4 linked regions of the Lonchura striata genome follow. The protein of the gene in region 1 interacts with the protein of each later gene in a pairwise test. Links are inferred from orthologs where the notes say so. Each region holds a gene or a part of one and is shown in the gene's direction. Other genes may lie near its edges.

What was found.
Region 2: the proteins of BOLL (region 1) and TFG interact in binary tests that used the Homo sapiens proteins (3 or more experiments, as listed by UniProt). The two-hybrid records come from large-scale screens. The link is inferred for Lonchura striata from reciprocal best matches to the Homo sapiens genes BOLL and TFG.
Region 3: the proteins of BOLL (region 1) and SERF2 interact in a two-hybrid assay, tested with the Homo sapiens proteins (2 studies listed by BioGRID and IntAct). The two-hybrid records come from large-scale screens. The link is inferred for Lonchura striata from reciprocal best matches to the Homo sapiens genes BOLL and SERF2.
Region 4: the proteins of BOLL (region 1) and ZNF385C interact in a two-hybrid assay, tested with the Homo sapiens proteins (2 studies listed by BioGRID). The two-hybrid records come from large-scale screens. The link is inferred for Lonchura striata from reciprocal best matches to the Homo sapiens genes BOLL and ZNF385C.

The regions. Positions count from the first base shown.
Region 1 is NC_134610.1:28,184,690-28,192,400, forward strand, and holds the start of BOLL (protein boule-like), read left to right. Parts: upstream 1-4,703; 5' UTR 4,704-4,709; coding exon 4,710-4,838; intron 4,839-7,704; coding exon 7,705-7,711. UniProt on the Homo sapiens protein: Probable RNA-binding protein, which may be required during spermatogenesis. May act by binding to the 3'-UTR of mRNAs and regulating their translation.
Region 2 is NC_134604.1:438,819-446,822, forward strand, and holds the start of TFG (protein TFG), read left to right. Parts: upstream 1-4,998; 5' UTR 4,999-5,119; intron 5,120-7,388; exon of another isoform or gene 7,389-7,412; 5' UTR 7,413-7,493; intron 7,494-8,004. UniProt on the Homo sapiens protein: Plays a role in the normal dynamic function of the endoplasmic reticulum (ER) and its associated microtubules. Required for secretory cargo traffic from the endoplasmic reticulum to the Golgi apparatus.
Region 3 is NC_134613.1:24,446,462-24,452,602, reverse strand, and holds SERF2 (small EDRK-rich factor 2), read left to right. Parts: upstream 1-4,943; 5' UTR 4,944-5,007; coding exon 5,008-5,014; intron 5,015-5,209; coding exon 5,210-5,318; intron 5,319-5,418; coding exon 5,419-5,482; 3' UTR 5,483-5,629; downstream 5,630-6,141. Other genes in the region: PDIA3 (protein disulfide-isomerase A3), read left to right, coding at 63-182; peptidyl-prolyl cis-trans isomerase FKBP8-like, read left to right, coding at 2,718-2,952, 3,064-3,409, 3,543-3,760, 3,831-4,003, 4,082-4,159, 4,289-4,456. UniProt on the Homo sapiens protein: Positive regulator of amyloid protein aggregation and proteotoxicity. Induces conformational changes in amyloid proteins, such as HTT, driving them into compact formations preceding the formation of aggregates.
Region 4 is NC_134627.1:6,449,620-6,457,479, forward strand, and holds the start of ZNF385C (zinc finger protein 385C), read left to right. Parts: upstream 1-4,860; 5' UTR 4,861-4,948; coding exon 4,949-4,985; intron 4,986-6,654; exon of another isoform or gene 6,655-6,739; coding exon of another isoform or gene 6,740-6,755; intron 6,756-7,860.

The DNA.
Region 1 (7,711 bases):
CTTTTTCTGCCTGGAGAATTCTTTTCCCAGAATTGGGAGAATTAATTGGGAGAATTCTTTCTCCCAATTAATTTTTTCTCCCTGTTTTTCTCTCTTGCTTTTTCTTTGGTTTATTTTTCCTCAACCTCTTTCTCTGATGCTAAAAAAAAGGATGAAAGGTGAAAACCTACAGGAACCAGCATAGTCAGACTCTTGTTTTTTACTGCCTTTTTCCTGTCCAGCACTGCCTTTTAATTTGTGGGAGATAACAGCAGGGGAGATAATTTCATGCTGTATATATTGCTGACATGTGGAATCAGGAAAACCAGTTGCACTCCTGACTTCCTTTGAGAGTGGCTCCCTCAGCCAGGAAACAATTCCTTTAATGAAGCAGCCATGCAGTACCAGGGCAGCCCAGCAGCCTTTGTTGTGATATTCAAATCTTGTATGCATGGCAGTATTTTTTACCAGCTCTACTCCTAATCTTGCTACATTTATCAGTGTGTTGAATTTTCAGTGTTAAAGCATCACAGTAAAAAATAGCTCAATATTTTTCATTTATTTGAAAAAGTCCTATTTTTGTCACAACTGTCTTATTTTAAATGTAAATATCCCAGATTTGGTTTTCTTAACTAAAGGAGGAGGTATAATATAGAAGATACAACAATTAAAACTATGTAAAATACACTTTCATGTCTCTGAATGTTTGTTTATTCTTTCAGCTGTTCTCACTTTAAATTCCCCAAATCAAGACATGAAGCAAATGAAAGGCTTTGGCTATTCTGCCTTTCACATCATTAAAATATGGTGCTGTTCTCAGGATAAGCTTTGTTGCTGTCTGATAAATATTCATAAAATGAATGCAACTCAGCAGAGTTCTGTAATCTCACAAAGTACTTCTAAAAAAATCTTATCAGCTCTGCTAAAATTGCCTTTACTTTTATATAATTTTCTTAGCTAAAAAAAAAACCCAAAACCAATAGGAAGAGTTAAGCATTATATTTTTATATATTACAGGCACAGGATTATTAGAAACTTCTAGGATTGCGGTTTGTTATTCTGTGTGATAGGACTAATGTTGCAGAAGCTGATAGGTAGTGTAGCAACACCAAAAAATTAAGGAGCAGTGCAGAATCTCATAAGGACTACAAGTCTGTGCTGTGCCTCAGGGAGACTTACATGATGTGAAGGGCTGTTTGGTTTAGGTGGGATGGGTATACTGTACATAAAGCAAATACAAATATTAGAATTCAACTAAAATATAAGGTAGACATTTTCAAGATACTCATTCTTGAACGCTTTATTTTAAAGCACAAAAAAACCCATAAACCATGAGAGTAACTAATGATAGTAGTGATCCTGGCATTGAGTCTTGAAGTTGAGCTGTAGTGACTTAGCCTGTGCATGTTTGATCACTTTCAAAAACAGTTTTTCCACTGGCACGGTTCTCTCAGTACACACTTGTCTGCATACCAGCTCCTGCTGTCATCAGATCAGGGGTTTTTATCAGGTTGCACATTTGTACCTGCATTGATTATAAGTTTGGCATTTGAATGACTCTTTTTACCAGACCTGTTTAATACCAGAGATAGTCTAAGGACCAAATGCATTTGTAGGTGGGATGAAATTATGGAACAGGAGAGCAGCTTGTAGCGCTGTTCAGTGAACGATCACAGAAGTACACTTCACACAAACATAACTATTGATTCTTGTCCTCCAGTTCACTGAGGGTGGAAAAAAGAATATTTTCAGTTGGAGTATTTTGGGGAGTGGTCATTATTGTGTTATTTTCCAGCTCTCTTGAGCAAACCAGAAATTTTATCTCCAAGGTCATCCCAGACCCACAGCTGTTTTCAAGCTAGTCTGCCTACTCAAGAGTCTTTTGGAGACCTCAGGAAGACTCTTTGAGTTGAAATAGGACTTTTGTTTCACGTTGATAGCTGTTAAGTCTAAACTATGTTTTGACCACCATGCAAATACAGCCTGGTAAGCCAGGTAACAGGTAACTGCGTCCCTGGGCATTTTTGTATTTCTCCCACAGAGGCCAGATAAAATGTTTTACCCTGTTTTCCACCCCGTTGCACGCCCTAGTCGGGAAGATAAACCCAGCTGGGTTTTGTCTCCTGCCTCCGCAGGTGATGGGGAAATCGCTGGAGGGAGGTTCCTGGGCTGACTCAGAGCTTCCAAGCACGGCTCCGAAGGGTGGTACTGGCACCCTCCTCAGCGCTACCCCCGGGGAGCGAGGTCCACCAGGCCTTCCTGTCCCGCTGCTGCTGCGCGGAGGCTGCCGGCGCCTCGGTACCCGCGGGGAGGGCAGCGCAGAGCGGCTGGGCCGCCCGACGCCCGCCGGGGCCGCGGCTCAAGCGGCCGCGAGCCGCGGCTGTAACGGCAGCGCCGGGGCCTTGAGGCGGGGCGCTGCCGCGGCAGGAGCACGCCCGGCCGCCCCGTCGCAGCGACCCCGTGAGAGCACTCGGGGACTGCGGGGAGAGGGATTTGAGAAAGGGGAAGGCAGCGGAGGGGCGCTGGGGCGTGGAAGGGCCGCTCCGTCGCGCTCAGCGCCGCCGGCGGTCTGTGCCGGCCCCGCCCGTTCTAGGCCCGTCCCCGGCTGGTGCGCGTCAGCTGGGCGCGAGGCGGAGCTGAGGAGCACAGCGCGTGCCGCGAACGTGCTGGGGGCCGCGGCGGCTGCGAGGACCGATGGATCCCGAGGGCGCGGTGAGGAGCCCGGCGGGGCCGCGGGGCCGGGCAGCCGCCCCGGAGGGCGGGAGGGCGGGAGGGCGGCGGGGCCGTCCCGCCGGGGCGCCCCGGCTCGCGCCCGCCCGCGCGGCACCGCCATTTTGTGTGCAGCGGCCTCAGGCTGTGGAGAAGCCGCTGGCGGCCCCGGGTGTGCGGGACACGGTGCCGGGGCAGCGGGGTCTGGCTCGGACCTTGCAGCACGCGGGCTGTGGAAGATAGAGGTGTTTAGGGAGAGAAGTGCGCTTAATCACCAGCCCTTCCTGGAGTTAGGTTGTCTGACCGTGGGTGTGTTCAGTGTAAAAATGAATATGGCGGCTCTGCCAACGAACCAGATGCACTAAGTAATCGATTAAAATATTGATAAATGTATATGTCCGTATTATTTGGGGAAATTAATAAAAAATAAGCTTACAGAGCAGTAGAAATAAATATTTAGAAGTAAGTGATGTGCTGATGGCACGTATTTGGTTTTTTTAATACTGTTTTCTTATTGCCACACTGTTGATAAAGAGGTGGTTATCACAATACAAATTTTAACACATAACACTTAAAACCCACTGTGGTTTACAGTATTGTGAGTTCCTGAGTGGTGTGATTAATTCCTCATTTCTTCCATTGAGGTATTTGCATTTCTGCCTTATTTTAATATATCAACTCTTAAAATATGTACAGAGACAATGCAGTTTAGGGTCTTTGAAGTAAGGAGTACGTTTCAGTTGTGCTGCTAATTGTTATAGTTGAATCTGGAAGTTTTTGTGCTAAAGACAGTTGCCAGATCATCGTGCAGTTGGGGTGTTGTATTTGGTGTGAGAGGTAGAGAATGTAACCTGCTTTGTCCCTCAGGAGTTCTTTGCTGCAAAAGCGAGTCCTCCTGGGGAGTGACTGTGTTGGCTCCTTGCCTACTAGAGGTAGGGTTTGTTCAGGTTAGTACTCTAGAGTAGTATTCCCAGGAGGAGAGGTGCATACTAGATTCTCTTGAGCAGACCAGGTTAACAACCTCAGGTTTTCCTCTGTCTGTGTTTCCGTACATTCAGAAAGGACTTGTGTCTTCTCTAAAACTTAAATTGTGTGAACTAAGCTGGATTTATTGTCTTTAAGATATCCACAGTAATGGCATTAACCCATTACTTAGAATTAGTAGGAGTAACTGAAATAATCCTGTTTGAGAAGTTAGTGACAATACTACATGGCTGCGTTCTGGCTATCGTCTACACAGTTAGGATTGACTTTGTAAGGCAGTATTATTTTGTTTTGAAAAGAGTTTACAATTAAACTGTTTCATGATTCGCAAGTGTAAGCATGCTGGAAGTTAAAACATTAGCCAGGCTTCACCAAATAATGGTTTCTATGACATCCCATTGTGTTATATCCTTTTACTGGGGCAAGAGCAATCTGGTTGCTCTTCTGCAGAGGGAATTTCTGTTCAGACCACTGTGTGATGTGTTTGTAGGCCAACAGGGTGTTGAATTAAAATACCAGTCTTCAGGACCTGTTCTCATTGGGTGTGTGGAGCTTGTTGATTTCATGTGGCGGAATTATGGGTGCTCTGCACTTGGAAAATGAACTGGAGGTTGTTGCAGAGAATAGTCGTACAGCTGTGTGTGAGAGTACAGATTGAGTTTAAAATGTCCATTCTATATAGGTTTAAAATAAGGACTTTTAGTAGAGAGATCTATTGTATAATAGAATTTATAACTGAAATTTATGCAGCAGGGTGCTTTGCAAATTGAACCAAGATTGATGTCCAGTTTAGAAGAGGTTTTAACACTGGACTTCAGACCATAGCGTATTCACTAAGTTACTGAATTCATTAAGATTGAGCTTGTGTTTAAACACTGAACTACATTCTGAATAAAAATACATGGTAAATGTTCAGCATCTGCTGTGTCTTCTGAAAAAATCTGTATGTATTGTCTGTTGAGAGTTGTTTCATTTACTGATAAATAACGTGTAAGATTTTGAAAATGTTTTCTTTGAATCATCAGGCCACTGATCAGATGCAAACAGAATCTTTACCTTCATGTCCCAACACTGCGTCACCGGTGAGGTTAAATAATCTGATCAGTTCTCCAAGGTCTGGAACAGTTATTCCAAATCGTGTCTTTGTTGGAGGAATCGATTTTAAGGTATTCTTCCCTCTTTTTGCTGCTAAATTGTAATTTATAACTGTATAAAAATCACCAGGGAAAAAAGAGAGACACAGTCATGTGTATTTGTTTAGTTGGCAAGTCCTCTTCACTTTAATGGCCAAACCTACAGTAGAGAATAAAGCTTTAAGCCTTAATTTGCATAACTGTCCTACAAAGATCACTCTGTACACCTAGCTGCTAGAAGCTTTTGACACTTCTTCAGAGTTTTCTTTTTTCATAGAAGATAGCTTTTGGCATCAGCAGAGCTGATGGCAGAAAAGCATGTAGAACATTTTGTTTATGTCTTCCACTTAGTGTAATTTAATAAACTGTCACAATGTTTCATAGATCCGTGGCTTTTGTTCCTCTAACACTTCTGGTTCACACAATGAATTACAGTGTGTATATTCCTCACCATAGTAATTTTCTTAAACGCAAGAGTTTGTTTTTAAAATAAGTACATAAGCTTCTCTGGGTATTTTGCAGTATTGATCTTAATTCCTAGAATGCTCCTGCCTTTGTATATTCCCTAAAATCTTTAAATAGCAGTGAACATTGCACCAGTCTTACCTTGTTCAGTTGCTTTTGTGATAAGCTTAAGGTTTTTCTCTCTTCCCACCTTAGATAATTAATTAAGGCATTGACTTGCAAAACGTGCTCCGTGCTTCATCTGTGTAGCTGTTGCTTTGTTCCTATCAAGAGCATCTTCCCTGCATTAATCCTCTTAGGCTGAGACCTTTTGAGTACTGACTCACTGGAAGAGGAACAAGAATTGATAATTCACTCAGGCTATTTTGCATAACAAATGCAAGAAATTCCAGAATCTTCTCGTTTATTTGGCTGAGATAATTCAAATAGAGAAGTTCATATTTTAAGATGTACAAGACCTTCAGTATATTTGGACTTTATTAAAGTGGCTTTTTGCACCAATAGTAAACAAATTTCTGGAGCTATGAAATGACCTCTCTTGCTCTCTTCTGTTTTCACTGCAATTTCAAAGGTTAAACTACTTTTCTGTCTAACATCAATATTTTTATTAATTATCATACTTATTGTTTGTTTTGAAGGGTCTCTTGGTTCAGTTGCTGATACTTCAGAATTTATTATGGAATTGTATTTTCAACAGCAGTTTAAGTATGTTTATAATCATAAAGAAGATGGATTTTTTTGCAGAGGGGAGAGGAAATAGAAGGGATGAAACCCTCTATGGCCATTTTAGTTGCGCTTCCATTTGATATGATTCTTTATATCAAATACAGCCTTAAATTTCTGATCTAGTCCTCATAGGGTTTATATGTCAGTCTTGAATTGCTTTCTATTGGCAATCTCATGGGGAAAAGTATTGGGGGTATTTTTTTTTTAAGTCAAAGGTCTTATTCAAGTCACCTGGGGTGATGCAAAAGCTATTGACTTTATTTTTGTGAGAAAGGGAAACAGTTAATCAACAAAAACTTAACTTGCTTTCTAACAAGCTCCTTTATGATTTTGTCTGTCACCATGGCAGTGATTCCTATTTTTAAGAGGAAACACCTGGTCTCTCAAACTTAGAGAAACAATTCAGCAAGGGAAGGTAGAGTTGGGAGCATTTTCATCTTGGTCTGAAGAGCTCTTTCTTTAGTGGTGCAGCCGTGTGTCACTGACAAAGGCTAATGCTAAGCCTTTACTCTCCTTAAAGGATCTGACAAGTGTCTGTGTCTTATCATAAGCAGGAAAAAGCACCTGCATGTATTTCTTATAAGTTTCTAAATATTATGTTTTTACAGATGCTTGCAGATGTCACTGTGCATCTTAGAACAGCATTTCCTTTTATTCTTCAGCAATGCACTGCTCTGCACATAAACCTTTGTCTTTCCAAATTCATAGTTCTGTGTAGCAAGCCCTTATGTCCTTGGGTAACAGCTTGAGCACCGAATGGTTTCAACTTGGATGAGGCACATAAACCTTTGATGTGCTGGAGAGGATTCCCTCCATTTTATACAAACACTCAAAGTCATTAACTTAGAAGTAAAACAGTACTTAGTATACGTGAAGTTAAGGAGAAGTATAGATGAATGGTGTGAGCATATAACTGTGCTTTTCCCGGTGTTAGGTGTAGCATTAACTAAGGGCTATGTAGAACAAAATTTAAAACTCAAATGTGATGCTTACTGCATCATATGTGATATATGCTTACATTGTAAAAAAATACTCATACAAGGAGAGGAGTGTTCCCAACGCTTAGGCGAGTCTTTACATTAGAAAGCTGTTTTATTCTCTGCATACTTGGAGGGGGGCAGTTCCTTCTAAGTTGACTTAGACCACTCTCCACTGAAATAACATTTTCTTACTTAGAGTGGGGAGTTCGTGTAGTGGGCCTGTACATATTTGCAGACTCTCATGTTAAAACCACTTCAGAAAGAGGGATCATGGTATATTCAATGGGTTTGATCACTAAATCACTGTGGTTTGAGGGGATTTATGTGACCTGTGTATATCTACATGCTCTGCTGTGTTGCAGTTGAAAGTATGGCAGTGATTTTTCATACTGTAAACTGCTCTAGCATGTAATTAACATAAACTAAAATTTGGATCTAGTACACCTGCTTCATTGATCTGAACTGTAATAGGACAGTTGTTACATAAATCTACTAATGAGAAGTTTCTAGAATTATTGTTGAATAATTAATGCAGTAATTAAGTGAGCCCTGAGGCTCATACTTGCTTATTCTTCTGTGTTGATATGCAGGGTTATAATTAGTTTGTAGCAAACTTCATCCAAAATACATCCATTAATAGTCTTAAAGTAAATATTGAACTAATTAATTGAATAACTATGCAAACCAACTTTACCATTTTTTTTTCCCCTCTTGATTTACTGTACTAGACTAATG
Region 2 (8,004 bases), on another chromosome or scaffold:
TAAAACATTCTTGTTCCTACGTGCAACCAGAAACAGAAACTTTAAAAAGAAATTTATCTCGTCTCATCTCATCTAACTGATACAATTGGTTTTCTGGGCATTTCAGATAAAATATAAATATGCAAAGCCTTTGGATTATATTTCATATATTGGTTTGGATTGTCCATGGCTGGTCTGGTTATTACCCTTTTGTTTCAAATACTAGGTAAGAGGGAAGACTTTAAACTGCAAGTATTTTACACTAAGTTACAATATTTTGTTCTGAGTGTAGTTTGAGGAAAACAATTAAAATCAGCTAGTTTGGAACACAGTGCAATATTATTGACTAGCAAATACTATTTTCAAAAGTAGCTAAATCACACAACACGGCTTGGGACTCGGTGACGCCTCTGTTACTGCCCTGGCCAGGCAGAGACAACACCAACCCGGGGTACCCAGGTCTGGGATGCACACTGAGCTTCTCAGGTCACTCCCTCAGTCCTAGGCTTTATAAATGAATGGGTCACAGTGCTCCACCACCAGCAGGACCTCGCCATCCCCTGCTATTGCAATGTGTAAACACTTCTCTCTTTTCCTAGGCAGTAAGGCAGTAGCTGGCTTGTGCTACTGTTCGGTTGTTTTGGTTTTTTGTGTGTGAATGACTCAATACAAACCCAATTGCAGCAAATTTTCTTGATGGACGTGCCTGTGATTTATGGTGTCCTGCGGCAGTGCAGCTGTGGCGGTGCAGCTGTGGTGGTGCAGCTGCAGCGGTGCAGCTGCGGCGGTGCAGTTTTGGCTGTCCTGCTGCACCGTTTCTTGTTGCAACGTTCCGTGGTCAGCGCTCAGCCCTGCACTGTTGTACCTGTGCTGCTCAGAGCCATGCAGCCGCTGCCTGGACGTTTCCTCCTACCCCGTCAGTAATCGATGGGGAAAGATTTAAAGTTGTCCATAGGGCAGCTTTTACAGTGCAGAGTGCATTCAGGGAGAGCTGTAAAGATAGGAGATCTGCAGAGAGCAATTAGAATCAGTGTCTCTGGGTTAGTGCCACGTGGTTTAATAATCTCCTGTTGCTGCTCACATTACGGGTATAACCTGAGCTTGCTCTCGTTGACCTGATAAAACACTGGAAGTGATAGCTTGGTCCCTGGCACAGCACCACAGGAGAAATTTTCACAGTAATCAAGCATTCAACAATCTGCTTCTGCCAACTAAGTAAAAAAATCTTTTAGTTATGGTGATCGCACATATGGACTTAAATTCCTGATTTAGAGGTTCCCAGCCCGAGCTTTGAATACGTCCAAAAGCAATGAGTGCCCGATATTATTTTTTATGTATTATTTATTAAGTAAAGAACACATTCTAAAGTCAGTACAGCAGTTAGCAGCAACACTGCAAACTGAAAGGAAACATTCAGAGAATGTTTCACTTTCAGAGAATGTTTCAAAAAAAAAAGTATGAACTACCTGTCCTATATAACTTTTAATGATTTTCTCTACTTTTTCTGGAGCCTTGTTTCTGGCATGACTGCTCTCTTTAGAGGTGTATCAATGCTCCAGTATGCTTATTTTCTGCCTCATAAGACAGCATGGATTTCAAGACATGGAGGACTTTTCAGGACTGATGAAACACTTCTATGAAGACACTCAGAAAGTCTCATGTGTAATGCACAGTGTATTTATAAATGCACATTGTAGTGGATTAGTTAGCATGTGTCAGGAGCCTGTCTCAGGATCATATTATTTCTCTCATCTGGATAGGATGAAGATAAAACCTGGCTGAGGATGCCATAAGCATTAAATGTGGTGTGCCATATCAGCACTTCAGTCAGATTCAGACAAAGGAACAAAGGCTTTAACATTTCTATACTGGTTTTCTAAATTCTCATTTCAAGAATTAAACAGGAGAATCTTGAGTCAAAAAAAAAAGAAAAAAAAACAAAACAAAAAAAAAAAGGAGGCTCATGTGTTTAAATAAACGGATCTCTGTTTCCTGCTCATACCTTCAGTTTTTAATCCTGGGAGTAATCTGTCCATCAGTGTGGTATGATCACCTCAGGACTTTTTGCACAGAGTTTGCAGATCTGATTGTCACTGGTGTACAGGCACTCAGTTTTCAGTAGGTCAAACTGACAATAAACAACTTAACGTTTGGGGATGGGTGGATTTTCACGTATTTCCAATTAGCTGTTTTATAGAAAATAGCCAGAGGCAAAATAATGAAGAATCCATTACTCCAAGTACTTCATATGCCTTCTATGGAAGGATGCATTTATAGGAATACAAGGCCAAGAATCCAGCAGAGCTGTGGGGGGAAAGAAGAGGCAGAAACTTTCCTGAAGGCTTTTTTCAGTGTCCCTGTGAAAGGCCTCAAGCCATTAAGCTCTTGTTACTTCCCTGGGACTCTCTCCAACAACTATTGCAGAAGAACTTTTTCCTGCTATTCTTTCTGAAAATCATTTCATATATGATTTGGTATAAGAGAAGCCACCCAGAAAGAACAGTCTTTTCAGTGTTGACCTTGAAATAAAATCCCACCTTTATTTGTACAAGGGGAAGAGTTTTATGTGTGACAAAGCAGCATCCGTTTATGAAAAAAAACTGAATCCCTATGACTGCTTTCTAGCAAGTTCCCACCCTCTATCAAGCTGTAGAACAAATAAGTCAAATTTTGTTTTTAAATCTCAATTATTAGTCTCATAATTGCTAAATATTATACGTGGGTAGCATTCAAAACACAAAACACAAAACGGAAAGCAAGAATGGTTTTTTCATTACTTATTAACATGAGGTAGCCAATCATTCAGGTGATCCTGAGCACTACCACTATAAAGATAGTGCTAATCATATTTTTCATTAATGAATCCTTTTTCTTCCTAGAAGCACACACACACAAAGTTATTAAATCTTTCTCTATACAATTTAATATCTGTGGGCATCCATTTTTTATTTATAAATCGAATGTATAATGCTTGCTTTTGTCAATTCCTCCAAATTCCTTCAGAAATATCCCTTTAGAAATTTACGTGGTTTAGGAAGGATGATACTTGATTGTGTTATAAAACACTGCTAGGCACTGTGAGGATGACTCCTTAAATGAGCGATAATATTTTCTAATAATTGATATTTTTTTCTCCCCAAACAAAAGCATTCCCTAAAGAACATCCTATTTAATTTTGAACGGCTCTTTAAAAAAACTAATAAAAATATTGTTTCCATATTACCCAAAAAACAAGGTCAAAATCCAAGAATTTGAAGTACGGAATTGAAAGTGTTGACTTCCTTTAATAATGAAGCATCTTGTCTCTAAGTATTTCAGATGAGAATAAAATGTTGTTATTGCCAACACTGAACATCTCTTGCTTAATATAAAACACTTTCAGCATAAAGCCCCCCCCACCCCTCCCAATTATGTATTTCATGACTTTTTTTTCTTTCATGTAGGGAATCCTAATTTCAGAAATGGAACAAATTAAAATGATGTTTTTCAGGTAATATGCTAAATTGTTACAGGATTATAACAATAAATACAATAGTTCAGCTTTTATCTACACGTGGAATATATTTATCTTCATAGTGTAGTGAACTTTGGTATTGTTTGTGATATGTGGGCTTTAGGGATCACAAAGTTTCTTGTTAACACTTTGGAAACACTGCTTTGATAAAGAAATGGATTGGAGAAGGACTGAATCATCAGTACAAAGGTACACAACACAAGTGGCAGAAAGTATAACAGATGGAAACATCCACTTTTCCAGATTTTTCCCACATTCTTTAAAGCAAAAACTTTTTCATTGAAAATACCCAAATATTTTCTAAATATTTTGTAACATTTAGCAGAGAAGCCTCATGAAACATGCCCCTCGTCCTTCATGAAATGTTTAGAATTAAAATTCGTATTGTGTCCATCTTTTCTTGCTTCCATTGAAAATGGAGGTGAGAATTTGAAATCTGCTTACTGCTAGTTGGACCCTGCTCTAGGCAGGGACAGAGCTCTCAGCAAGGACAAATACTACAAAAATTAAACAACTCTTAAATTGTTCTTGTCCTGGAAGAAAACAGATACTAAAGGAAAAGATGTCTTTTCAGAGGACTCTTTAACACCAGGAAATAACGAAGCACAATCATGCTTTCGGTAGCTCTGAGTGAGCACCAGCACAGCGCGGCCTTGCTGCTAAACCAGAACGGGCAGCAGAAACCCCAAATATCCCAGAGTGTCCTCCACTTCCAGCATCTCTGGGACAGGCTAAACCAGAAACCCCAACTACCCCTGAGTGTCCCCCAGTGCCAGGGGCTCTGGGACAGGCTGAACCAGAAATATCCACGAGTGTCCTCCACTTCCAGCATCTCTGGGACAGGCTAAACCAGAAACCCCAAATATCTCTGTGTATTCTCCACTTCCAGCATCTCTGGGACAGGCTAAACCAGAAACCCCAAATATCTCTGTGTATTCTCCACTTCCAGCATCTCTGGGACAGGCTAAACCAGAAACCCCAAATATCTCTGTGTATTCTCCACTTCCAGCATCTCTGGGACAGGCTAAACCAGAAACCCCAAATATCTCTGTGTATTCTCCACTTCCAGCATCTCTGGGACAGGCTAAACCAGAAACCCCAAATATCCACGAGTGTCCTGCAGCTCTGGGAGAGGCACCCTTAGGGATCCATTCCCGCATCTCCCATTGACAAATCTCAGGAGCCTCGCTGCAGATCCATGTTTTTTCGCGCTTAGGGGGACAAGCTCTGACCGCAAGGCAGCGTGAGAGGCTGTGAGGGTGCGCGCGGCCGCGGGAGTAACCAGTGCCCGGACGGGACCATTCGAGGATGAATGCTGCTGTGTACGGGCGTCTAACAAGCCCAGGGGAATTTTACGGCCCCGTTCCTCCCCGAGCACCGCCAGGCTGCGGAGGCCAAGGCGGAATCCGGCCGGACGCGCTGAGGCGGAGCGCGGCCGGGCAGGCAGGCGCGGCCGCCGTGCCGGGCGGGGCGCCCCGCGGGCGCAGCGCGCAGGCGCGGCTGGGCAGGCCCGGCCTCGCTGCGGCCGCTCCTCTCTGCCCTGCCACGTACGGGCGGCGGCGGCCGTGCCGGCTCGCGCGGCGCTGCTCGGGGCGGCTGCACCGGCGGGACGGCGGAGAAGCCACCGTAAGAGAGCTGGGGCTGCTGCACCGCGTGCGGGAGCGGCGGGAAGGAGGGACAGAGGGGCAGCTCGGGCCGGGCCAGCCGGCCGCCCCCTCCCCGGCCCCGCCGTTCCCGGGGCGGCGGGCGGCGCGGCCCCTGGCGGAGCGGCCGGGAGACCCCTGGCGTGCCGCCGGCCGCGGCTGAGGGCGCGGGGCGGCCGCGGCTGAGGGCCCGGCGGGCGGGTCGCGGGCTCCGCACGGCCCCGCGGCCGAGGGCGCCCGGCCGCCCTCCTGCGGGGCTGCCGGCCCTCACTGCCGGGCCGGGACCGGCTGTGATCTCTGCTCCCCTTCGGGCCGGGCCTGCCCGTACGGCAGCGGCAGCAAACCGAAAAGAGCTCTCCTCCCTTCTGCTCCCCGCGCTTGTCCTGGGAGAAGTCGTGGCTCTGTCCCGGGCGGCGTTGGGAGGCAGTCCTGCTTGCTCGTGTTCCTGTCGGCGGCACCCTGATGCTTAGCCCTGTTTGACAGAAAAGATTGCGGCAGGAATGCCTGTCTTTCCCTCGCCTGGGAAAGGCTGTTTTTCTTGCTGCTGTGCAAAGAGGGTAGTGAGATACAGCATGGTCCTGAGATGCCGCTTTCAGAGGGGATCCTGAAGTGACTGGGCCGGGTTGGGCAATCCCTGTCCCCATGCAGCACTTAGATCAGTGCATGATGTGAATGGAAAGTGAGCCGGGAGGAAAGGGCTGTACCTGCAAAATGCCAGTGTACACCAGGAAGGTTAGAAAGATGTCAGTGTGATTCTTACGGGAAGCAGTCTGTAGTCTGAAAGACGGAGACATAAATGTTTTTTGGTTGGTTGGTTCCTCCCCGGCCCAGGAAAGTAGACACTGATTTTGTTAAAAAGCTCATTAGTGTGCATTCTGGATGTGTTCTCCATAGAACCGTCTCAATGGAGTCATCCATTCAGCTGTGTCACAGTGAGGGAAGAAGCTTCAGTGCTGTGTAATTCAGCAATTTCAGTATTTCACACAGTTTTCTGTAACAGCTGCAAGCAGCTGCAATGTTTAGAATCTGTGTCTTTAAATCTGGACACCTTCAAGCAGAGTGGAGAACAGCTAGACCAAGAAAAAGTGCATTTATTCTGCTACCTTTTCGTAGTCAGTGATGGATAGCAGGTTTCTGTGGGTAATGCTGCTAAATAAGGCATTACAGTAGCTCCTTTCCTTGCACAAAGAAATGAACGATACATTCAATCTGTTGAAAGGCCACAGGAGTTCAGCTGTGTCCACCAAAATGTGTCTATGTTTAGGACATAGAGATGAGGTTCAATTCTTACTGTTAGCAGTTTCTGAGTAGCATATGTTGTAATGCTGAAGAAGCAAAACCACTGGCCAGACTAACGCTTAAACAATGTGAGGGGGTAGCTAAATGAACTCTTTGGTTCAACCACTCTTCCATGCCTTATCTGTATTTGTCCAGTGCAGTAAACGTACCTGGAGCTGTAGCAGCTCTGGGGTGAAAGGGGCACTATCCTCATGCCTTACTCCTTTCATAAAACATGAGTGAGGCAGCAGAAAAGTAGTCTCTTCCTGTTCCCCTGCTTAGCGTGTCACAGCAGTCTGTCACTGTCAGAAACAGGAACAACCCTTTTTAAAGAGGAGCACTGCATACTCAGGATGAGGGAAGCAGCTGCCAGCCTTTGAGAACCAGAGAGTACCTCTGTGTCTTCTCTGGGGTTTGCTTGTTCTCTGCCTTCGTCCTGTATGTTCCAGTTTGCTTCCAGTTGAGTTGAAAGAGGAGAGCTGGGAAGCCCAGCTTTATGTGAATAGAGGGGAACCTACTTTTTTCCTCTGGTTAGCAGTGAAACATCTAAAAATCAGATTATGGATTTTTGAAATTGGCTGTGCATGTGAAAGAGAGGAGTTGCCAGGAGGGTTCACCCATGGGGTCAGAGGGAGGAGCCACGTGTGTTCCCTGTTGGACTGTTCTGTATGCCAAATCATCTCTTGATCTTAGTCCTGGAAAGGAATACATTCCTGTTAGGAATTCCTACATGCCATTAGAAAATTAAAAAAAATAATCTTCTATTACAAAATTGTAAGTCTTGTTCAAGATTTCTTTTAGATCAATGCAAATTCTACAATACTCAAAAGTGTAAATCTGATTGTTACATTATGGATAAAGCAAGGGCTTTTAAAATGGAGTATATTCACCAAGATGTTCTAAAGTGAAAGATGGATGTGAATTGTGTCATTCTAGGGAAGTGTGACTGTAAATATGTTTATTTTCTGATGCAGCTTACTGTTCTCTGGCATTGACAGTGCATGGCGGCTTACCCTCACTGTGTCCTGAAGTGAGGTGGGAAAACTGTCCAATAATCCAGCATCACTAAGACAGATAAGGTAATGATAAACGTATATTTTTTGGAAAGGAAATGAAAGGAAACCTGTGGGTCGATACTGTTTTATTTTTTAATGCTTAAATTAAAAAAATCTCAACTACCAACCAACTTGTGCAAAAATCGTATGCTTTTAAATCTAATTTAAAGTTAATTAGGCTGGGTTGATGTGCCTGCAGTCAAGACTCCTGTTGCAAAACCCGAAGATTGCATTAGTGAGCATTAACAATACTATAAACCTCACAGTTTCATCACAGTGCCTCAGCAGCAGCATAGCTGTGTTAATTGCTGGTCCCTTTTCCCTGCAATTAGGCTGTATCCATCTACCTCGTCTTACGTGTGATGAGGAGAGTGAGTTTTGTTCAATAATTGCTTGTATCTTTTTGGGCTAAACAAAGGGCTTTGCCTGAAATCTCTGATTTGCATTAAGTTAATTACCAACACCCCCAGAAATTTAATTGCAGTCTAAAGATAGCATTATACTCCATCTTTTTAATGCAAAATATTGTCACTAA
Region 3 (6,141 bases), on another chromosome or scaffold:
TTCAGGAAAGGGGAAGTCCATGGTGGATACAGCTCTGCCTGACTGTCACTTGCTTTCTGCAGGGGGGCAGAGAAGTGAGTGACTTCATCAGCTACCTGAAGCGGGAGGCAACCAACACTCCTGTGCTGCAGGAGGAAGAGAAATCCAAGAAATCCAAGAAGAAGGTGAAGGAGGATTTGTAAAGTACCTGCTTGCCACCTTGTCAGGAGGAGCTCTATATGAATCGGGGAAACACTGGTCAGATAGGGGCCAGTTCTGGGCTGTGGAGAGCCAGTGGCCATGCGGGCAGAGGAGCCCCAGCTGCTGTATCTAGTAATGTTTAATTTCCTGCCGTCTCTTAGCTGCACTGTTGTGGGGCTCCCCAGGTTTGTTTTGTGGTTTCAGAGGGGTGGGGGTACAGTTATTTTCTAATTTTTTTTGTACATTTGGAGAAGTGAAACAATAAAATGACCCCCTTAAGACCAAATGTCCCTGTCCTGGGGCAACCCATCAGACCTAGCAATGGGTTCCTGTTCTCCATAGGCAGCAGCTTCCTGCTGCAAGTTATTCCCTACAGTGAGCCCTCCTAGCCCCTGCTTTCAGCCCATTATCCTCTTTCTTTAGCTGCCCAAGCCCCTCCAGAATGTAGCAGCAACAGCTATCCCAATGTGTTGGGCTTTGGGTGCTGTATTTACACACATTTTGGACTGGGGAATTGTGGTCACAAATGCCTTTGCTGTGTGCTGCCCTAGCGAGTTCAGAGGTACATGGTGCTCACTGTGACTGTTGGATTGCAGCAGTGCAGGCATATGGAGCAAACTGGCAAGGGCCTTGCTCATCAGCAGCAGAAAATCAGCTTTGAAGCTGGTGCACGAATAGTTTGGTATAAGAGGAGTGTTACTATCTACAGCCTCTACCCAAACACAGGTAGGCCAGGGCCAAGGGTGTTTGTTACAGTCAAGTGCTTGGCTGTGGTGAGAGCGAATACAACCAGTTAACTATTCCTTCTCACGCTGAGAAACAGGCTGGTAGCTGTGGGTCTCTCTTCAGGAGGATAGGAGTAGACCATGTGGTGTGGGCTGTGACTGACCATCTGAGGGTGTTCCGCTTTCCTTTGGGGAAGGGCGGGAAAGAGATGGGCGGACCAGGTAGGAGCTGTTGTCCTGATTCTGTGTTCCTTTACTAAATGCAAGTTGAAGTGAGGGTCAGCACACTCAAAGTATTGCTTCATGGCAGCAGGTAATATGGCAAGAACCAGAGCTTGCTTTCTCTGTGGCTTCCTCCCCCACAGCTCAAAGCCCAGGTGGTGCTGGAGTTTTCCAAATACAGTAGCTCATGCAAGGCTTAGGCTGTACTTCTTTGACTACAGTAACTGCAGTACAATTTCTTTTGCAGCTCCATTAGCATCTCAAACCACATTTCCCTTTTGTGCTCTGCTGCTGTGGTAGCTGCTCTGCCCCTAATGCATGCGGGTGTCTAGGCACCTTTGGAGGAGCATGTGATGTCCAGTGGTCCCTGCACAGACTGGCAGGAGCCCTGCACCTGTCTGTCTGGAGCACTCTTGCAAGGAAAAGGAACACAGCAAGCTCCCCTGACAGCTGGCAATTACCCATGTTACACCAGACTGGAATGCTGCTTCCTTGCTGGGCAGGACAGTGCTCTCCATCAAGCCAAGGAGAGCTAGGGACGTGGTTCTAATCCTGGCTTTGCTCCCTGCTCTGTGACTGTTGACCTGGTGGCAGCTGGGGCACTGAACACAGGTAAAACTCTTCAGCATGTTTGGCCCAGGGCATCACTGCTGGTGCTCAGAGCAGCCTGGGTGAAGTTGGCACAGGCCTAGGGAAACTTTCTGGCAGAAGGGACAGAGGATGAGGAAGGGTTGTGGTGGTGGCTGCCTAGATAACCCTCACTATGCTACAACTGCATTGAAGGAATAAGGTTCAATTGAGGAGAAACAGGCATCTGATGAAGGATTTGTATATTTGATGCCTGGAACACTTGGCAAACAGGGTGGCTACAGACCTTGCTTGCAGTGAGACCTGCATGGAGAGCTGGCCCTGGGTAAGGGGGAAGCCACCACCTAAAGTAACACATTCCCCGAGTTGGCTCAGGCTTTAGCAAAAGATCGGGTCTTTGTTTCTGGTTCTCCCCATGCAGCCATGGCCCTCCACGGAGCTGGGAATGAGCTAGCCCCAGGTGTTTCAGAGCTGGAGCAGTTGGCGCTCCTTCAAAGACAGGTCTGGATGAGCAAGGAAAAAACTGCAGCAACAGTTTGCTTGGGAGGACTCGCTTCTTGCAGAATTAGGCTTTTGCTATGAGACAGCTTTGGATGGAGGCATTCAAAGTGATTCTTACGCTGGTAGCTGGGATAAGCCAGAGACTCGGCCCACAGCCTCGGTACCGGAGACGCCGGGCCGCGGCATTGCCTGGAACGCGCGACAGCAGCGGGCGGGGCGGGCGGCGGGAGCCCCGTGGCGGGGCTCGCCCTGGCCCAGCTATTTTTGCCGCCGACCCGGACTAATCCCCTGAGCTGCTTCCCGGCATTAGGTAACGGCGCGGCGGCATGCGCTCCGCGGTGTCCCCGGCCCGGGCAACCCCCGGCAGTCGCGGCGCGGCGGGACGGGCGGCGACACGCCCGGTGCGGGCTGGGGGCCGTGGGCACCCGCCGCCGAACCCCGCGTGGGCCCGGACCGAGGCCAGCAGGTAGCGGCGGGTGGCGAGGGGGGCCGGGGGCGGACATGCCGGGCCCGTCGCCCGGCGGCTCTCCGGAGAGGGAAACGGGGGCCGGCGAGCGGCCGCGGAGGCCTGGCCGGGACCGGCGGGTGCGGTTCCGGCTGCCTCACACCGCCATCGCGGTGCCGTCGGTGCGCGAGGAGGAGCAGCTCTTCTACCGGCGGCTGGAGGCGCTGGCAGTGCCGGGGCCCGGCGGCTTCGGGCCGCTCTTCGCTTCCGACAGTTGGAGCGACTTGACGGGTGAGTGCCGACGGGCCTCAGGGCCAGCCCAGGCCGGGACCGGACAGAGTGGAGCAAGGAATGCCAATTTCGGGACTCCCGGCTTGGCTCTTAGCGCCTCCTCCCTCGCAGAGGACCGGCTGCTGCGGAAACGCGTGGTGCGGGCCGGGCTGGGCGGGCCGCGGCCGCTGCCGGGCCAAGAGGTGTCCGTGAAGCTGCTGGGCGCCCTGGAGGACGGCGGGCTGGTGGAGCGGGACCCGCGGCTCATCTTCGTGCCGGGTCACGGGGACGTCGTGCAGGTGAGCCCGAACCGGTGCGCGGTTCAGTGCCGTGCGAGCTCAGCGCCGCCGTGGGCCCCGACCCGCCAGCCCCACCGTGCCCGTCCACAGGCTCTGGAGCTGGGCGTCCCCACCATGCAGCCCGGGGAGGTTTCCTTCTTCCTCGCCGCTTTCCCCTACGCCTATGGCCGCCCGGGCAGGTAAGGCGAGCGGGCAGGGGGCGGGAGGGCAGACGGACCGGGGCGGGCAGGCAAGAGGGACGGGCGAGGACAGGACCAGAGCCGGTGGCGCCGGCAGGGCAGGGGTCGCGGGCAGCCGGCGCTGTACCAGCAGGGAGCCCGACGTGCCGCCCGAGGCGCCGCTGCTGTTCGAGGTGACGCTGCTGGAGGTGCGGGACGGCCCCGACCCGCAGCCGCTGCTACCCGCCGTCCGTCTGCGCCTGGGCTCGCAGCGCAGGGAGCGGGGCAACTTCCACTTCGCGCGGGGTGACTTCGCCGCGGCGCTGCGATCGTACCGGCTGTCCCTGCGTGCCCTAGACGGCCCCGCCGCCGGTGAGACCGGACGGAAGGGAGGGCCCGGGGCTGTGGAGCTGGGGCGCTGAGGCCGCAACTCGCCCCGCAGCTCCGCCCGGGCCCGAGGAGGAAGAGGAGCTGCGGGAGCAGCGTGTGAAGTGCCTCAACAACTGCGCGGCTGCCGAGCTGAAGCTGGGGCGGACGGAAGAGGCGCTGGCGGCCTGCGAGGCGGCCCTGCGGATCAGCCCCGACAACGGTCGGGCGTTGGTCCGGCGCGGGCAGGTGGGACTCGCATCGTTCCGCATCGCCCCGCTCCCCTAGGCCCAGTCGTCCAGCTACCGTCCGCTCCTCTCCCCGCAGCTTCTGGCAGAGCAGGGGCGGGACGCAGAGGCGGCGCTCGTCCTGAGGAGAGCCCTGGAGCTGGACCCGGCCAGCAAGGTGTGGGAGGCGGGGTGCGAGGGCGGGCGGTGGTCCTACGGCACCTGGTACTTGAAGCGACGGGGAGGAAGAGGATCCTACAGCATTTGGTGGGTCGGGTGTCCCACCGCAGCCGCACCTCGTCCGTAGGTGATCCACACCGAGCTCTCACGGCTGGCGAAGCGCCAGAGCCCTCCATCCGGTACCGGCCCGCAGAATCCCCGCCACGACCCGATACCGCCGCCGAGCCCCGCGTGCGTAGGCGAATTGGGCTGTGCAGGGACGGATGCCCGTCCCGCACCCTCTTGGCGCGCATAGCGCTTATAGCCGTCCCTCCCTGTAGATCCCCCGCACCGCCCTCGGCGGAAGGAGAGATCTGAGCGGCCCCGCAGCGTCTCAGAGCCTGACCGAAGAGATAGAGGAGTTCTCATACCGTCCTCCCCACATCGCCCCGCACTCCCGCGGGAGGAGAAGAAATCTGCGTGGGGAGGGCTGAGGGAGGGGCGGGACGGCGCCGGCCCCGTCCCGCACCGCCCGCACCGCTCTCCCAGCCTGGCAGCGCTCCCGCACGCCTCGTGACGTCACGGCGGGGGGCGGTCCCCCCGCGCTCCGCATCCTGTCGCGCGGAGGCGGCTGCGGCGCGTGCGCCGAACCTTCCGGCTTTTTCGCCCCCGCCGGCAGCAGGGAGGCCATAGCCCGCGGCCAATCAGGCGGGGCCTTGCCGCAGAGACGCGCCAATGGGAGTGCAGCGGGGGGTGGATCGGCGCAATGATTGGCTGTGGCGTCCCTTAAAGCGCGGGGCGGGGCGGGGCGCGGGGGGGGTCAGTGCGGGACGTGGCGGTGGAGTGGAGGTGGGAGGGAGCGGCGCCATGACCCGTGAGTTGGGGGGAAGGAAGGAAAGGGGGCTGGGGCTGACAGGTGTCGTGGGAGGCTGTTCTGGGACCCGGGAGTGCGGCGGGGCCGGGGTCAGGGGCCACGCCGTGATGCGCCGGCGGGCGGTGGTCGGGCCGGGGTATGGGGGGTGGCCGGTACGCGGGGCCGGGCTGCGCTGAGGTGGCCGCGCTGTGGCAGGCGGGAACCAGCGCGAACTGGCGCGGCAGAAGAACCTGAAGAAGCAGAGCGACTCGGGCAAGGGCAAGCGGCGGGACGACGGGCTCTCGGCTGCCGCCCGCAAGCAGAGGTGAGCGCCGGGCCGGCCCGCCGGCTTCCCCTGCCCCGCTCCCTGCTCCCGCCCCGCGGTGGTGCCGGCCCCGCCGCCAGCCTCGCCGCGCTCCCCGCAGGGACTCGGAGATCATGCAGCAGAAGCAGAAGAAGGCCAACGAGAAGAAGGAGGGCAACAAGTAGCGGGCGGCCGCGCCGGGCTGCCGCCCCAGGGCCGGTCCCGCCGGCAGGATGCCCCGCGCCGCCCCAGGCCGGGTCCCGCCGGGACCTCCGGCATCGCCCCGCGCCCGGTGGCGCCGTCCCCTATTAAAGTAGCTGTGGAGCCCTGCACGCTGCGTCTGCTCGTCCGTGCGCCGGGCGGGGGGTGGGTGAGCACGGCTATTGGCGGAGCAATCGCGGCCGCGGGGAGTCAAGCGGCGGCATCTCGACGGCGAGGAACAAAGGTGGGGTCGGACCTGGGCGGCCCTTGGGGCAGCACCCGGGGATCAGCGGGGGCTGAAGGCCGAGCGCCCCGGGGCGGAGGGAGAGCGGGGAGCCTGGAGCAGCGGAGCTGGACGGCGTGGCGCCGCAGCGGGCCGGGGCGCAGCCGGGGCTCCGGGCCGGCCGGAGGGCGGCGGTGGAGAGATGGCGGCCGGGCCTGCGCACCGGGGGAGGGCCGCGCTGCGGCACGGCCGGGGCGGGCCTAGCCGCAGCTGCCCGGCCGGCGGCGGCGACATCCGGCCCAGTGCCGAGGCCGGTGCCCGTCGGCCTTTTCACCTCCCTGCAGGGCCCTAGCAGTGGCATCAGCCCGATCCGACAGCACAGCGGCGGCTCCCGCGGCAGCCTGGGCTCCTCACCGGGCC
Region 4 (7,860 bases), on another chromosome or scaffold:
TAATTTATTTATAATTAATGTAGACATCAAGCCCCATCTCTGGAATGCCTGTGAGCTTTCATTTATAATTGGGAGGTAAGTCAGGAGCTAGAGGCTTGGCTCTTATCAGTTTCATTTTAATTTTCCTCCTACAGCAAATGAAGCTGGTGCAATTCATCTCTCATTAGGAGGAAGCACAAAACTCCCCTAAAATAACAGTTTTATGGGGAACAGGTAATAAACCCATCTTTGTTCCTCTTCTTGCCTTTGATAATGTTACTGGGGCTCACAGATCCCTCCGAAGTGTTGCTCTTCCTTAAAAATAAGTCCATTAAAAATTAAAACCACTTTCCTATATAATAAAATTTACTCCCTGCAATTATGCAGAGGAAGCAGTTATCGGCCTTCTGTAGATTTTAATTAAAAGTTACAATAGGAAGGAAATAACAACGGCCATAAAATAACAGCAGCCTCTCCCCTACCGATGATTTATTGGTGCCTCTGTGGCTCAGGTGCCTCTCCAAGCGATGCCCGATGCTGGTGAGAGGTGCTGGGGCCAGCAGGCTCCAGAGCAGTGCAGGGAGTCCCTCTTTTCCTCCTGCAGCTGTGGGGGAGTTCCTGCACCCATGGGTGCCCAAATGGGTGCTGAGCTCAGCTCTGACCCATTTGTGCTCTTGTTTCTGCACCCCAGTTAGAGAATGGGGGTGTCCTGCCCACGGTGCCCGGTGCCAGGGGTGGGGTTAGGGTGAGGTTTAGGTTTAGGGTGAGGGTTAACACTGCCCTGCTGATGTGGCTGTGCAGATCCTGGGGTGCAAAAGTCCAGCTCTGTGGGGCTGGGGGGGCACAGCTTCTGCCCATTCAATCCCTCAGGGCACGGGGGTCCCAGCTGAGTTCATCCAGCATCTCCGAGTCCTTCCCTGAGATGTGTGTTGTGGCAGAGTGGGGCTGTGGGAGCTGCATCTGCCTGGCCCAGATATTTTGCAGAGCTCACAGAGAGACCATCAAAGGCGGCTCACACTAAAAATAGCAGGTGCCCAGGCTGGCACAGGGGCTGCTGGTGGGAACGTGGCTCCTCCGTCACCTGCAAACATCTGCTGATGTGGGAAGAGCTGCAGCAGTGCAAAACCTTATTCCATGTCTACAACAGCTCCTCCAGAACGCAAACCTTTGCTTTTGAGGACACCTCTGAATTCAAACATGGGTGTTTGTGGGGTCAGTGCCCCTCGCCCACGCTGGCTGTGGGGTTGAACTTCCCATCTGGCCATAGCTGGGTCACTGCTAATTGAGCTGATGAGAAACAGGTGAGAGCCAAACGCTGGGGCTGGTGCAGCTGCAGTCCCCTCACGTCAGCTTTTTGCTCTCCTGGCTCTGGAGCTGCTGTGGTGTCACATCCCACACCCCACAGCCAGGTCAGCAGCGTGTCTTGGCAATCAAGGTGAATTGAGGCACCTGGAGCCCAGCTGGGCCCCTGCAGCCAGGCTGGGCTGGGGAGCAGTGCTGCCCTGAGCAGGCTGCAGGCAGGGGCACTGCAGCCTGCTCAGCTCCCCGTGGGCTGGTGCTGCCCCGTGCTGTCGTTCCTTTAACCAGTTACGGCCGTCAAGTGTTCCACTTCTGGTCTCCTCATTGCCTTCCCTGGATCCTGGCTGTGAAGGTGCTAAACCCCCCCTGATCTGGCTCTGAAGCGTTTATGAAATCTTTATGGCCTTTTGAAAAGATTTTAATTCCCTGACAGCGCCGCTTTCACTGGGAAAAAAAAAATAAATTATGACTCAATGAGCAATTACAGCTCAACAGCTGCTGAACGGCCACGGCAGCTGCCGGAGCAGCTTGGCACGGCTCAGCGCGGTGGCCGAGGAGCCAGAGCCTTCCTGGGAAGTGGTGCTGGGCCTGACCACCCCACATTCACCTTCCTTGGCTGGCTCAGCCCCTGAGCACAGCCCCTCCTCTGCCCTCTGTCTCCCACGGCCTCTGTACCCAGCAGCTGAGCTCTGCCTGGCGCTGGCCGAGGAAGGAGAGAGCTCCAACTGCACCTGGAGAGATGGGCACTGCAGCCAGCTGGTGCTGTGGGACCCCTGTGGGTGTTGCAGGAAGGAATCCTCCTTCCCTGGGGTCCTGTGGTGATGTTTCCCCCCTCTCAGCCCCCTAAATTATCAGGCTAGCCCACAGGTCCGAGGCTGTGAGGGGAGGAATATCAGGAGATGGCAAAGATTTCCAAAAGAGGCTCTTACTCCTGAAATACTTGGTTCAGCTCTCTTTATTCTGTGATGTCCATAGGGACAGCAGGGCAAAAGAGAACGAACAGGAAATGTCAGGGGTCTGTATAGAATTTGGACAGGGTGGGCTTCCCTGGCTCTCCGCCAACCCTGTCAGGGCAGGAAGGAGGGGTCCAGGGTTATCCTGATCAGAGTCACAGGGTCCTGGGAAAGGGGGCACAGAGTGCCCATGAGCTCACTGTAACACTGTGGTTCCACATTTGGGATTGGCAATGTCTCGAAGCATCACGTCTGGGACAGCTTGTCACACCTACCCATCGCCTGTCCCACTGGAGAGGTGCCACCACAGTGTCCCTGGGCAGTGCCAGCACCTCCCTGTGTGGGGGCATGTCAGAGCTGCCAAAGGATGCAGAGCATTGGTCTAATTGTAAAACTCCCTGTTTGCTGGAAGCAGAGCTGCTGAGCTCCAGAGGCATGAAGAAAGAGGAAGTGTTGCTCTGACAGTGCCCATTCCTTCCTGGCAGTGCCCATTCCCTCCCAGTTCCCTCCCTCCTGGCAGCACCCCATCCTGTTTCCTCAGAGGCTCATTTCTGCTGCTTCAAGTGCACAAAATTGCTGCACAGAATTGAGAACTGGGTCGGGAGAAATTTTGTGAGCAACTACAGTGTGATGGAGGGGCTGGATGTGCTGTGCCTTCTGCTGCTCTGTCCCACGGCACTTCAGGGGGCTGCAGCTGGAGATGACCTTCTCTTTGTTTCGAGTTTTGTCTTCGGCTTTGGAGATATCTGCAGCAAACCAAAATGTTTGAGGGTGACCGTGGTCTTGGCACAAACAGTGTCTTAGGGATGAAGGGCTGCCCTTGGAAGAGGGAAGCCAGAGTTCGCATGGAGGGGAAGGAATGCATCCACACTCCCCAGTGCTGGAATGCTGGGAGCTGTGGGTCAGCCCTCACCTCATCCCTGCACTTCTTGATCCCCACACCTGGCAGGGGAGTACAGTCCCTTTCCTGCATTTTGCTGGAGGCAGGAGGAGGCTGAAAGGCTTAAAGTAAATGAAAAATGTGTGGAGAAGCCCCAGCCCTGCCTCTGCTCCTTGGAGAAGAAGGCTACACCATCATCATCAAGCTCCTGACAGCCAAGGTACAGTAAAGTTTGAGATCCATTAGAGTGCCTGTAATTATTTATAGGGAGGGAAAAAAAAAACCCATCCTACATTGTGAAAATCAGATGGCACAGCAAACAAATGCACTGAGCTTTGGCAAAAGGGCTCTGAAAAGCCAAAGTGATTTATGGTGAGCCAGGACAAGGCTCAGTGGTGCCACACTGCTGCTCCTGGGGACCTGAATCTGACAGCAGCGGGGCAAGGGACTTCTGGTGTGGACAGGTAGGATCTGCTGCTCCTGGGCCACCTGCTTGTGTTGCAGGATCTCCAGACCCAGAAGTAGCTCAAACTGGGACTCCCCGCTCCTGGCTTCTCCCTCCCTGGCAGCTGGTGGCCCTGGAGCCTCCTGCAGGTGTGGGCACCTGTGGGCTCGGAGGGGTTTGGAGCAGCACGTGCTCTGCCCCACTTCTGCAGCCTCCAGCCTCTGCCAGCGGCAGCTCGGGGCCGATCACACCTCTGCCTCTTGGCACCAATTCCGTGTTTTAGTGGAGGCAAAGCAGTGAGCAGGCAATTGCTCTGGCAGACAGGAGTCCCTGGGTACCTGCTCCAGAGGAGAGCTCTCGGCCAGAGCACTTCCCTCCCAGCTGGGCTCCAAAGTTCAATTAGCAGTTTTGGGAAGTGCTTTGAGATCCTCTGCAAAGTGTCCTGGCGGAGGGCAAAATGTGATTATATAACGTGTCTAGACAGCGTATTCCTTGGGGCGGGCAGCAGGATGCTTTTATATCTCCTCTCCTGTGTCAGCACTGTGTGGCCCTGCTGAAAGGTTCTGGGAGCTGCTAAAATATTAACAATGATGACAGCGACAGGCCAGCTCAGACTTTTGCACTTAAAATTGTTGATCTTAGCACAAGGCTAAGCATGGCAGCAGAGGCGCCTTTGCCCGGCGGCACCGTGCGCTCCCGCTGCGCTGACTGAGGAGCAAACAGCATCTCCGGGCAGGCCCCCTCCCTCCATCCCGCCCTCGGTTCCTCTTCAGCCTCTCGGAGGTTCTGCCCGAGGTTCTGTCCCTCCCTGCTGGGCCAGGGTCGGAGAAGGGGTTCTGCCATCCGCAAAGAGCTGCAGCCCCCGGCGATGCCACCTCCGTGGGGAGCCGGGCTGTCTGCTGCCGCTCAGGGTGCGGGACTGGAGACCCTCGTCCTGAGACCTGACCCGCCATTCTCCGGGGCGCTGGTCGCACACGGCATCTCAGTACCCTGAAATTCAGGTGCCCTCCCCACAGCCCCGCGGTGTCACCTCCCTTTGCGCTCCTAGCCGCGCACCTTACCGACCCCCAAAGCCCCTGGGAAGAGCCTGGGGAGTTGCCCTGTGTTCCCCCAGTCCCAGCCCGGGGCAGCCGTGAGCGAGAGCGGGGAGGATGCCCCCGAGCCCCTGCGCCGCTGCGGGATGCAGCTGCGGGATGCAGCACCGGGATGCGCCGCCGCCGTTCCCCCTCCCACTCCGTGCGGGAGCGCGGCGCCGAGGGGGGGTTGGACCGCGGCGGCGCGCGAGCTGCCTTCATCCCCCCCCTTCCTCCTCCTCCTCCTCTTCCTCCTTCTCCTTCTCCTCCTCCTCCCCGAGCGCGCTCGCACGGCCGGGAGCGAGAAGCCGCCGGGAGGATGCTGCAGACGGCGGCGGAGCCGGGCGGCTGGGCAGGTAGGGCGGGCGGGGGCGGCCGGGCTGCCGGTACCGGCGGCCGCGGGGCCGGGCTGCGGACACGGGGAGTTGCAGGCTAAGGAAAGTTGCGGGAGGGGGGAGATGCGCTGGAAGGGCCCCGGGATTCGGGATCGGGGCCGGATGATCGCCCGGGGCAGGCGCCGCTCCCCGCGCTCCATCCCGGCGGCGCCGGGCAGCGGGGCAGGGGCGGCGGGGATGGCGGAACCCCGGCCCCGCTGACCACCCGGAGGGGTCAGGCTCGGAGGGAAACTTCTTGAGCGGAACTTTACCGAGGCCCCGGCGCGGCCCCGCTCCGGCGCGGGGCTGGGGTTCCCACGCCGAGCGGGACCCGCCGGTGCCGGTAACCCCGGCTCGTCCCCGCCGGGTGCGCGCACCGTGGGGTGCAGGCGTGGGTCCCCCACGGGTGTGTGCGGGTCTGGGGTCTGCGGCAGCACCTGGGCGTGAGCGGCGCTGGCCCGGGTATGGGGCTCTGAGCAGCCCTAGCCCGGCTGTGGGGTGAGCAATGTTAGCCCGGGTGTGGGGTGAGCGGTGTTAGCCCGGCTGTGGGGTGAGCGGCGCTGGCCCGGGTGTGGGGCTGAGTGGCGCTGGTTCAGGTGTGGGGTGAGCGGTGTTAGCCCGGGTGTGGGGTGAACAGTGCTGGCCCGGGTTTGGGGTGAGCAGTGCTGGCCCGGGTGTGGGGTGAGCGGCACTGGTTCAGGTGTGGGGTGAGCGGTGTTAGCCCGGGTGTGGGGTGAGCAATGTTGGCCCGGGTGTGGGGTGAGCGGTGTTAGCTCAGGTTTGGGGTGAGCGGTGTTAGCCCGGGTTTGGGGTGCGCAGTGTTAGCCCGGGTGTGGGTGAGCGGCACTGGCCCGGGTGTGGGGTGAGCGGTGTTAGCCCGGGTGTGGGGTGAGCGGTGTTAGCCCGGGTTTGCAGTGCCCGGCCCTGGCCCGGTTTTGCGGTGCCCGGCCCTGGCCCGGGTTTGGGGTGCCCGGCCCTGGCCCGGTTTTGCGGTGCGCGGCCCTGGCCCGGGTTTGGGGTGCCCGGCCCTGGCCCGGTTTTGCGGTGCCCGGCCCTGGCCCGGGTTTGCGGTGCCCGGCCCTGGCCCGGGTTTGCGGTGCGCGGCGTGGCCCCGGTGCGCGGCCCAGGCGGGGCAGGGGGCGGTGGAGCGGTGCTCGGCCCCGCCGGGCCCGGCTGTGCCGCTGCCGTGCCCAGCGCACCCTGCGTGTGCCCCGGCTCCTCGCAGAGCTCCCGGAGCTGCAGCGTCCGTGCCGGGACCGGGACTCGAGGAGCTGAGCTGGGAACGCAGCCGAGGCTCTGGCGGCCTCCACGGGACTCTTGGCTCGGAGGGAAAGGACCTTCAGAGAGCTGCACAAAAGCGCTTTCTGCTGCCTGTGGCTCCGGGTGGGAGCAGCGGGATCCCCTGCTCCAGGCATGTGGAGGCAGAAGCAGATTGACCTGGTTCTCCCCTGGCCATTACCAACAGACTTTGTTGTTAGCTTGGAGCAGCAGCGAGTTATGGTGGAAGCTTTTAGGGAGTTTGCATCGGGGTGGGCAGGGCTGGGGCTTGCTCTGCCCCAGAGCAAACCCCACGGATCCCGGCACAGGGACGTGCCTGTGCCCGCCCCTGGCAGCGCCGTGGCAGGGCGGTGAGTGCCGATCCTGCGGGATGGGCGTGTGGGAAAACAACATCTTGGCACAAGAGGCTGCGATTTGTTTTCGGAGCAAGATTTGAAAGTGCTGCTTAAATAGAAGAGATGATTCTCTGTGGAGGTGAGCAGTCTAGAGCCTGGAATTGCACTCCTGGAGGCTGTTAGGGGCTTCCAGGTTCATTCACAAGTGTGCAGGGATCAGCTCACTGGCATATTGCTGCTAAAGCTGCCCCTGCAAGGACTGGATGTGTCTGTGGGTCCCACAAAGTATGGCAGCACCTTTTCCCCGCAGGGACGAATTTTGGGTGGAAATGTGAGGCAGGAGCTGGCCCTGCCCTGCTCAGTGCTGTGCGCACATTGGCTTCATCCCCTGGTTACCTGGGACCTCTGAGTTGGGAGTGGAGATGTTTGTGAGCTGCTGTGTCTGCATGTGGGGCACGGTGCCTGAAAACAGCACCAATGGGCAGTGTTACTGTGTGTGACAGCCTGTGGATAAATGAGCCTCTGTCCCGGCTGCCAGCCTGGCTGGGAGTTTCTTCAGCCACCACCATCCAAATCCACCACCACTGCCTTTTTTTCCGTGACTGCAGGTGTTTTCCAGTGGAGCATCCAGCCCAGAGGCTTTGCTGAGTGATGTTTGTCACTTGGGTGGAAGGGCTCCGTGGGGATGGAGGAGCCGTGTTGGTCCCTTGGTAGCTGCCAGTGTGATTCTCTGCCATATGCAGAGTTCAGGGCAGGGTGCTTGTTCTTTAATCTGCCACATGCGTTGGAAAAAAAGGCTGGTGTGACCCTGGATGTGGCTCCGGCTGTGAGCCCAGAGCCAGGCTCTGCGTTAGCAGGGCTGTGGCATCATGCCAGGCTGTGACTTCTGCTGCGAGTCTCGTACACGAGCATCCCTGAGCTGGCATCCCTGAGCTCCCGTCCCTGAGCTGGCATCCCTGAGCTCCCACTCCTGAGCTGGCATCCCTGAGCTCGAATCCCTGAGCTCCCACTCCTGAGCTGGCATCCCTGCGCTGGCATCCCTGAGCTCCCGTCCCTGAGCTGGCATCCCTGAGCTGGCACCCCTGAGCTCCCACCCCTGAGCTGCCATCATGCTTGGCCGGGGCTCCAGAGTGGCTGCTCTCGCTTCCCAAGTGCTGCTTAAGTCTGACAGAGCAGCAGGCTCTGTATGGAGAGATCAGGAGGCTGCTGTAACAGTCCCAAGAGTAAGAAATATTTCTGGGGGC